Linked DNA regions of Tribolium castaneum. The protein of the gene in region 1 interacts with the protein of each later gene in a pairwise test. Links are inferred from orthologs where the notes say so. Each region holds a gene or a part of one and is shown on either strand. Other genes may lie near its edges. The genes, in order: developmentally-regulated GTP-binding protein 2 and RWD domain-containing protein 1.

What was found.
Region 2: the proteins of developmentally-regulated GTP-binding protein 2 (region 1) and RWD domain-containing protein 1 interact in binary tests that used the Homo sapiens proteins (3 or more experiments, as listed by UniProt). The link is inferred for Tribolium castaneum from reciprocal best matches to the Homo sapiens genes DRG2 and RWDD1.

What each region holds. Positions count from the first base shown.
Region 1 is NC_087399.1:1,997,457-2,000,921, reverse strand, and holds developmentally-regulated GTP-binding protein 2, read right to left. Parts: upstream 2,051-3,465; 5' UTR 1,999-2,050; coding exon 1,935-1,998; intron 1,884-1,934; coding exon 1,726-1,883; intron 1,680-1,725; coding exon 1,365-1,679; intron 1,315-1,364; coding exon 760-1,314; 3' UTR 717-759; downstream 1-716. Other genes in the region: lysosomal-associated transmembrane protein 4B, read left to right, coding at 1-173; coiled-coil domain-containing protein 137, read left to right, coding at 2,112-2,188, 2,236-2,788, 3,390-3,465. UniProt on the Homo sapiens protein: Catalyzes the conversion of GTP to GDP through hydrolysis of the gamma-phosphate bond in GTP. When hydroxylated at C-3 of 'Lys-21' by JMJD7, may bind to RNA and play a role in translation.
Region 2 is NC_087400.1:602,481-607,009, forward strand, and holds the start of RWD domain-containing protein 1, read right to left. Parts: upstream 2,926-4,529; 5' UTR 2,898-2,925; intron 1-2,897. Other genes in the region: large ribosomal subunit protein uL30m, read left to right, coding at 2,926-3,047, 3,092-3,512; SMC3 (structural maintenance of chromosomes protein 3), read right to left, coding at 3,582-4,161, 4,210-4,346, 4,406-4,529. UniProt on the Homo sapiens protein: Protects DRG2 from proteolytic degradation.

The DNA.
Region 1 (3,465 bases):
TGGAGGATCAGCCGCCCCCATATCCCACCGTTTTGGTCAATGAAGTGCATAGTCCGGGGACTTACAGGGTGGAAACGGAGGCACAGCAGCCCCAAGAGGCCGCCGCTGAGGCAAGCAACGAGGGCCGAGAGGGAGAGAAGAAGGAGGAAGAGGAGGGTAATAATAGTAAATAAACGATTATTGGTGTAGTCATAGTTATTATAACGAAGTGTGCACTTCTTTCAATTCAATAAATCGATTTTCGTGTCAACATTCCACAGTTTGAGTAGAAGCACTTAGAAAACAAAACGAGAATTCAAATGTGTATTTTAGATTAAAGAAATGAGTGTTTCCTAACTAATAACGAAGTTTATGTAACATATCTTATGCTAATTACGGTTTCAAGAGTGTACTCTTTCAATGTATAGTCGGTTTTATTTATTTGAAGGTTGACTGAACTTTAGAATTGCTTTAATTTTTATATGTGAGGCGCAAGGCCAAGTCGGCCGGCTGAATAGGTTGTTCAGTATCTATAACATGTACTTTAAAAGTAAATATAGCTCGAAAAATGCATGGCCCATTTATTTGCCACCTTTGCAATATTACAGTGGAGTTCGGTTAACGAAGTAAAAAATCCAGTCAATAGAATCACCAAATACGGTAGGAAAGGGTGTTTTTTTTAATTAAATATATAAAATTTCGCCACTTAAAAAATGTTCGGAAATAACGGCCAGAAGTGTAAGAAAATCATTTAATAATATGCAGTAACAACGAATCTAATTACTTCTTAACTATTTGGATGACGTCCTCGTCGTGCATGACGTGGGAAGTGCCGACCCTTTGGGGCGAGTATTTGGTGCTCGTGCCCCAGACTAAGGCATACTTGAATTGCTGGGCGAGCGTTCTGTGGATTGCGTGACACACATGCTCCACTGTAACCCCCTTTCTCAGAATCAAGCCGTCGCTGAAATCCGGCGGCTGTCCCGGTTTTTTCGTATAAACGCGAATTAAATTTAAATACTCCCAGAGGACTTGAAGGAGGTAATCTAGGTTGAGCTTCATGTTGCAACTGACGACAACACTGTTCGGCTGTCTGGCTATTCTATCGACTTCCTCGATCGAAATCTGATCGATTTTATTATAAACGTAAAGGCATGGAAGATAGACGCGGTTCGCACAAATCACGTCGATTAACTCATCGGCAGTGCAGTCTTCCCTGAAGAGAACCTCAGCGTTGAAGATTTTGTACTCGTGCAGAATCATTTGCACGAGCTTTTCGTCGATTTTCGTCAAGGGACAAGTGGAATTGAACGAAATACCGCCCCCTTTTTTCACCTGTTAGTGTCAAGAATTAAATTACACAGCGAGACGGGCGCCAGACTTGCCTTGAAATAAATGTTGGGCTTCATTTTGTTCAGCCTAATCCCCACACTTTCCAATTCCTTTTCTAATAAGTGTCGGTGGACGTCCTTTTTCGTGGCGTCCAGCATCATGAGGACCAAGTCGGCCGTGCGTGCCACCGCTATCACCTGCCGCCCCCTGCCCTTGCCCTGGGCAGCCCCCTCGATAATCCCGGGCAAATCGAGCAGCTGGATATTGGCCCCATTGTAGTCGATCACGCCCGGGATGCACGTCAAGGTCGTGAATTCGTACGACGCTGCCTCGCTTTCCGTCTTCGTTAAAGTTGACAACAAAGTGGACTAGAAAAAACATGAAACGACAGGTCAGGGGGTTCCCAAAACTCACTTTTCCGACTGACGGGAAGCCGATCAAGGCCACACGCGCATCCCCACTTTTTAAAACGTCGAAACCTTCACCTTTTTCCGATTTTTTCGAAGGCTCCAAGAGCTGGGAACGGTATTTTGCAAGTTTGGCTTTGAGGAGCCCTAAGTGGTACTCGGTGGCTGAAATAGGCCAATAAAACAACACAAAAGGGGGCGAAGTGTCTCCTGTACCTTTATTTTTTTGCGTGCGAGAGATTTCCTTCTCGATTTCCGAGATTTTTTCCAAAATTCCCATTTTCTGGCACGTTTTATTCCGGTTTGTTTGACATTTGGCACGATTGGCACCACTGTTTGGTGTAAATATAACCTCAAGTTTTGCTATTTATTTTGGGGCTAAAGGGTGTTAAAATGGGGCGCAAAATTCCAGGCCGGAAGCATAGGGGGGTCCGAGACCCCGAGAAACAACGTGCGGAGCGCGAGAAAAGGTACAACGTTGTTCGGTCTGGCATAACCTTACTTTGGCACGTTTCAGTCTTAAGGATAAAATAAACGCGCCCCCGAGTAACCCAGACGAACAGTACGTTCCTAAAAGTCTGCAAAGGATCGCCGAGCTTAAGGCGAAGGTTAAAAGTGGCGATTTTTTGCGCAAAAAGGTGAAAAAACCGCGTCCGAAGCCATTCTTTAAACAAGGTCCGAATGAGTCAGATAAACAGTTTTTGTATCGGGTGCACAAGCACTGTGCGATGGTTAAACACGAGGCGGCTTTTGAGGAAAAATTTGGGGTTGAGGTTCAGAGGAATGCAGAGGGGGAGATAGAAGGGGTTAAAAAACGGGCTAAAGACCCCGTGCAAGTGATGGTTAAAGAAGCAAAACAGGCCAAGAAGAAGAAGAAGGAAGAAGGGCCTAAATTAACAAAGTCGCAAAAAAGGAGATTAAAATTAAACGAAAAGAAGCAGAAGAGAATTAATGATAAAGTTGATGAGTTTGAGAAGTTTCAAGATAGGGTTAAGTTTGGGGAACAAGTGCATGAACCACCTACATTGACTGCGCCCCGGAAGGTTAAAACGGGGGGCGAAGCCCCACGAGTAAGTCACGCTTTCGCATACATTTTAATGAATTTGAAATTAAGTTGGCAACATTGTCACTCATTCCGGAGGGGTGGCCGCGTAACTGTTGCCAACCCAAATTCGAGCCCCAAAAGTTGAATTTTTATTATTTATTTTGCGAAATAAACTAAGTTTTTAACTGAAAAAACGTGCTTTAACCAAATTTCACTCAAAGTCGAACTAAATACCAACAATTTCGAGTTATTTTTTTAATTTTTGAGCGTGCTTTGACAAGTCTACGGAGGACTATAACTTAGGAAACGAATAAATCGCAGATTTCTGTACCCAAAAAAATAGTACGGGTGGGGAAAATGAGGGCGCTTCGAGCGTTATACCGAAAAAAATGCAGAAATGTTGAGTTCTGCATTCTCCACAAACTGACCTCTAAAATTTTGATGAGAAATATGGGAAAAAATTATTAAAATTTGCGCTTCGTCTCGTATTTTTAAAACGCTGCAAACTGTAGACAATTAAATTTTCTTTAAAAAGTCCTCAAGACCATATTTCTATCTTCTGAGTAAACCAGTGTTGCCAATTTAATTTGAAAATAACAAACGTAATTTAAAAAACAAAATTTTAGCCCGGCAAAAAAGACTTGTTGTTGAAGTCTGTTCTAAACAAAACCAGTAATAAAGTGATTGATAAAACGGGAAAAA
Region 2 (4,529 bases), on another chromosome or scaffold:
TTATAAACGTGGTGGATAAACAACAGTCTAATCTGCTGATTCTTCGATAAAATCGAATTGAATTTGTCCTAATTCTCTTTTAATCCATTATTACGTCTTCAAATATTTGTTTAGTGGTTAAAAATCCAGCTTCAATAGTTTAATCCCGTGATATTTCATCCTTGAGTGATACAAGACTTTTGTCTATTATTATTAGTTGTGACAAAAGAGCTAACAAAAGTGAAAACGAATAAAAAATTAATCCTCGATAAAAATTAGTTTCATCAATAATTTTTTTAGAAATGTGTAAAAAGTGCCATAAATTGCGACTTCATAATTAATTACCCGATTTTAACAAATTACTGAATAAAAAATTTCTCAATATCGTACATATTTTTGAATTAATGGTCCGACTAATGCCATTCAAATACTTTCGTGTTAATTATTATTTATTACTTCTTGTTAGTGTGAATATAACGTTTGGGGCCCGTTTATAAAATGGTTTGTTAAAATTTAATTCGTTGTTAAAAGTTAACAACGCAAATCAAATCAAATTTGCTAATTTGTTAGTTGCAAATTAACTTAATGGCCCTTAGATATATATATATACAAAAATAAAAGTGTCTCAGATCATTGCAAAGCGCAAACAACGTTCTTTTTATCAAAACTAAATTACTTACATAATGAAATTTGTAAACGGTTTCTAATAATCTTAAGCAAAAAAATTTTTCTTAATTTCTGGGTTTCTGGGTCCATTAGTTATAACTATAACTATAAAGTCTACTTTTGTGCCCTATTTCAATAAAAAAAATGCAAATCCGCTGTTGCTATTTTCATTAAAAAGGTAGATCTTTAAATTTAAACAGTCAGTATACAGCGTGCTCAAAAACTGGCGCACCAACTCATTGGTGTGTGGTAGAGAACTGGTTACATATAAAGGTAAAAATAGTAAAAAAATTCTTTGAATTAAAGTTATTGATAAATAACTAATTTTAGGTAAATGATATGTGGCAACGTTGTCTAACAGTCATGATCGCAATAGAATTTGATCAACAATAAAAATAAATTATTTTTGAAACGGTTTACTAGGAAATAATTCCCAGTGTTGGCACATCTACACATTGTGATTTTTTGGATGAATTTTAATTTTTTTTAATTAAAAAAACTGCTAAAATCTGATAGTAAATTTAAAAATAATTATTCATCGTTTTGTTACGGAACGATTACCTGGTATGAAACATAGAAATATAAAAAAATAATGATAACTAAAGAAGTTAACACAATAAGTTTGTAGCTCAAGATTTTTTAAAATATGACTTTAGGAATTTTTTTAACATTTTTCCCGTGATCTACACGTGCTTCTCAACAACGTACCACTGCGTTGGTGCGCCAGTTTTTGAGCAGCCTGTAGATAAATCTAGATAATTCTTTTGTTCTACACACATTCACTGAAACTTGGTTAGATAATAACTTGATAATATCTATAATTACATACAAGTATATTATTCTCTAATTAAATTCAAAGTACCTAAATATAACAGAATCGATGATAATAATAAGTATGGATATTATGGAGTTATTTTAACAATTATTTTACTTATTTTTGGTAACAGTTCAGGTGGCAAAGACAACATTTCGAAAGCTAACAAAATTTTATTAGTTCGATAATTATAAGTGTTAAAAGGCTTTTTTTAATATTAAATTTGACCCTTTTTGCCATTAAAAAAAATCATGTTAGCCTTGTTTTTCCAAAACAAATGAAGACAGAAATTTGATAAACGTCTGAGACGATAGAATTTAAATCATTTAACGCATATACCAAATTCCAATACGTTTTGATGAATAGTTTTTATAATATTTAACTGAATTCATATTTTTTAGTACATACTTATTCTCAAATAAAATAATGCTGACTCACACAAATTTGGAAAAGGAAATCACCAATCATCCAAGTAAATAGTTTTACTTAATTTAACAATTACCCACTGAAATAGGTTGTTAATTGTCTGTGTCCAATCAATTAACTGAAGTTGCAGTGGCAGTTATTTAAAATATTTAAACCATTGTAATAACAGCAAGTGAAAGCTCACTTTTCAACATTGTAATTAAGAATAAAATTAATTTACTACCTAAGAAATTTTACTGTCAGTTATCATAAATAACACGAGATTTCTATTTTCAGATAACATTTTTATCACTTTTATCCCACTTTTATCGAGACTAACTACAAAAGAATTTGAACTCAAGGCATTTTATTTCATTTACAAAGGATAGGGTTTAATAATTGCAATTTTACTCGTTTATTATTAAAATAGATAGATAGATAGATTTTTTTGTATCAATACGTTGCAGAGGAGACCCGGACAAAGCCGACCCTGCACTTCTGACGATCGCTATCAACTATCAAAAAATTCTGTGAAATAAATAATGGGGCGAAAACTGCAATAATGCATTTGCGGAGCTGGACAAGATAAATTTTTTTAACATTGTTCCGACAACTAAAAGGCCATAATTTTCTTTTTAGAAAACGTCTTTTTTATTGTTGAATTAGTGGTCAAAAGGGCATTGTGTGACAAAACCGATTTCGGGGTGAAATGGGGCGAAAACTGCAATAGTGCATTTGCGGAGCTATAAATATTGAAATTAGGTGAAAAAGTGGGAAAAATTAAGAAGCAATTTGTGGTAAATAATTGAGTTTTTCGCTATTAGCAAAGTGACTTTCTTAAAATGTCATTTTTAAGAGGGTGTTTAGTGTTTTTTCGGATTTTTATTTTATTAAACGGTTTCAAAGCTGACAACCAAACATACATCTACGCAAATTGAAACGTATTTTGCTAGTGTGAAACTGGCTTCATGTTCGGGTTTCTTCGGAATTTCGAGGAGCTGGTTTGGGGAGCTGTCTTCACACAAATCACAACCTAACCTTAAACTAACTGTCACACAAGAATGGCCAGTTTTCTCAAAAGTATCAACATTTTCCACAATATTCAGCGTTTCTATACCAGAACGCGGCGCTACAATTGGGCCGAAGAAGGGGTTCAGTACCCAGGCTTTAAATACTACCCCAGGTGAGTTTGGAGAAATTGAGGTTATGTGGTGATTGTCTTGTCAGGTACCCCGACTTTAAGGACCCCCCGTACGAGCCATCGAAAGTGTTCCGGGTCCAGCGCATCAAAGCGCTCAAAGGGGTGCCCCACTACGAGAAAAAAATCCTGGCCGAGTTTCACTTAACGGGGAAACAGAGCGACGTTGTCATTGTTAAAAATATCCCCGAAAACAACCAGAGACTATGGAAGGTTAAGCACTTGGTGCAGATTAAACCGGTCACGTTCCCGGACGGCTTCCCCTCCAGCCCCAAGGGGGCTGTCCTGAAAGAAAACGGCGAATTGCGAGTCATGAAGACCTTGGAGCCGTCAGAAGAGCGCTTACAACTGGCGGAGAGTTTCAAGACAAAGGCTGAGCGCATGGATGGGGACACCCTCCGTAGAGACTCCCGGAGGAAGTGGTTAGATGCCTGGGACACGACTTTGTAAATCCTACCATTTATTATTAATAGCTAAGTCATACAAAACTTGAGTTAAAAACAAATTTTTGAAACTTATTTAGCCATGTGTTTGGTCATCTTCGACGAAATCCCTGGCCACTTCCCTCGTCACGCACTCCACATGACTCACTTTATTCCTGAACTTAACCCCGTAAAACTTATGGGCATGTTCCAACAATTCGGGCCTGAACGTTGTAGTGATAAACTGGGCTTCGCTCGACAATTCGTGGATCATATTCGCCACAGCTTTCCTATGCTGGGCGTCTAAAGCTTGATCAATTTCGTCAAATAGGTAAAACGGAGCAGGGTCACACTTTTGGATGGCGAAGATCAGGCCTAGGGCCACTAGCGACTTTTGCCCCCCTGACAACTGGTTCATTTCCTTCATCTCGGCGTCGGATTCCGTAAACGAGACCTTAATCCCGATCCCACTGAACTGGTCCGAGTTTGTGTCTTCCGGGCCCACATCCTTGCCCTCCTCATTATCGACTGTCTTCAGCACCAGCTTAGCCTTACCGGCAGGCACCAGTTTTTTGAAAACTTCCGAAAAGTACTTCGAGACTTGCTTGAAAGTGAACTGGATGGCCTCTAATTTGCGCTGTTCCAACATTGCGATCAGTTCTTTGATTTTTTCGCCACTAAAACATGTATAATTGGAAGTTAATTCAAACACCAAGTGGGTTTACCCGCGGTCTAGTTCCTCTTTACGTTTCTGCAACTTTTCCTTCTGATCGGAGAAACTCATAAACTGGTCCAGGGCCTTTTTGTTCACGTGACTGAATTTTTTCAGCTGGTTGTTGGTTTTTTCCAATTCTTTGAAAAGCTAAAATTTTGTTATTACGTGAATAAAATAGGCTTCACTTTGACAGAATTATTTATTACCGATCGTGACGACATTTTCACATAATGGGAGTACAAATCCTGGGCTGGGAGTGCCCCCAATTGGTTGATTTTTTCCACGCATTCTTGGATTTTTTGCTCGAGGAGGTTTTGCTTCGTTGCGTAT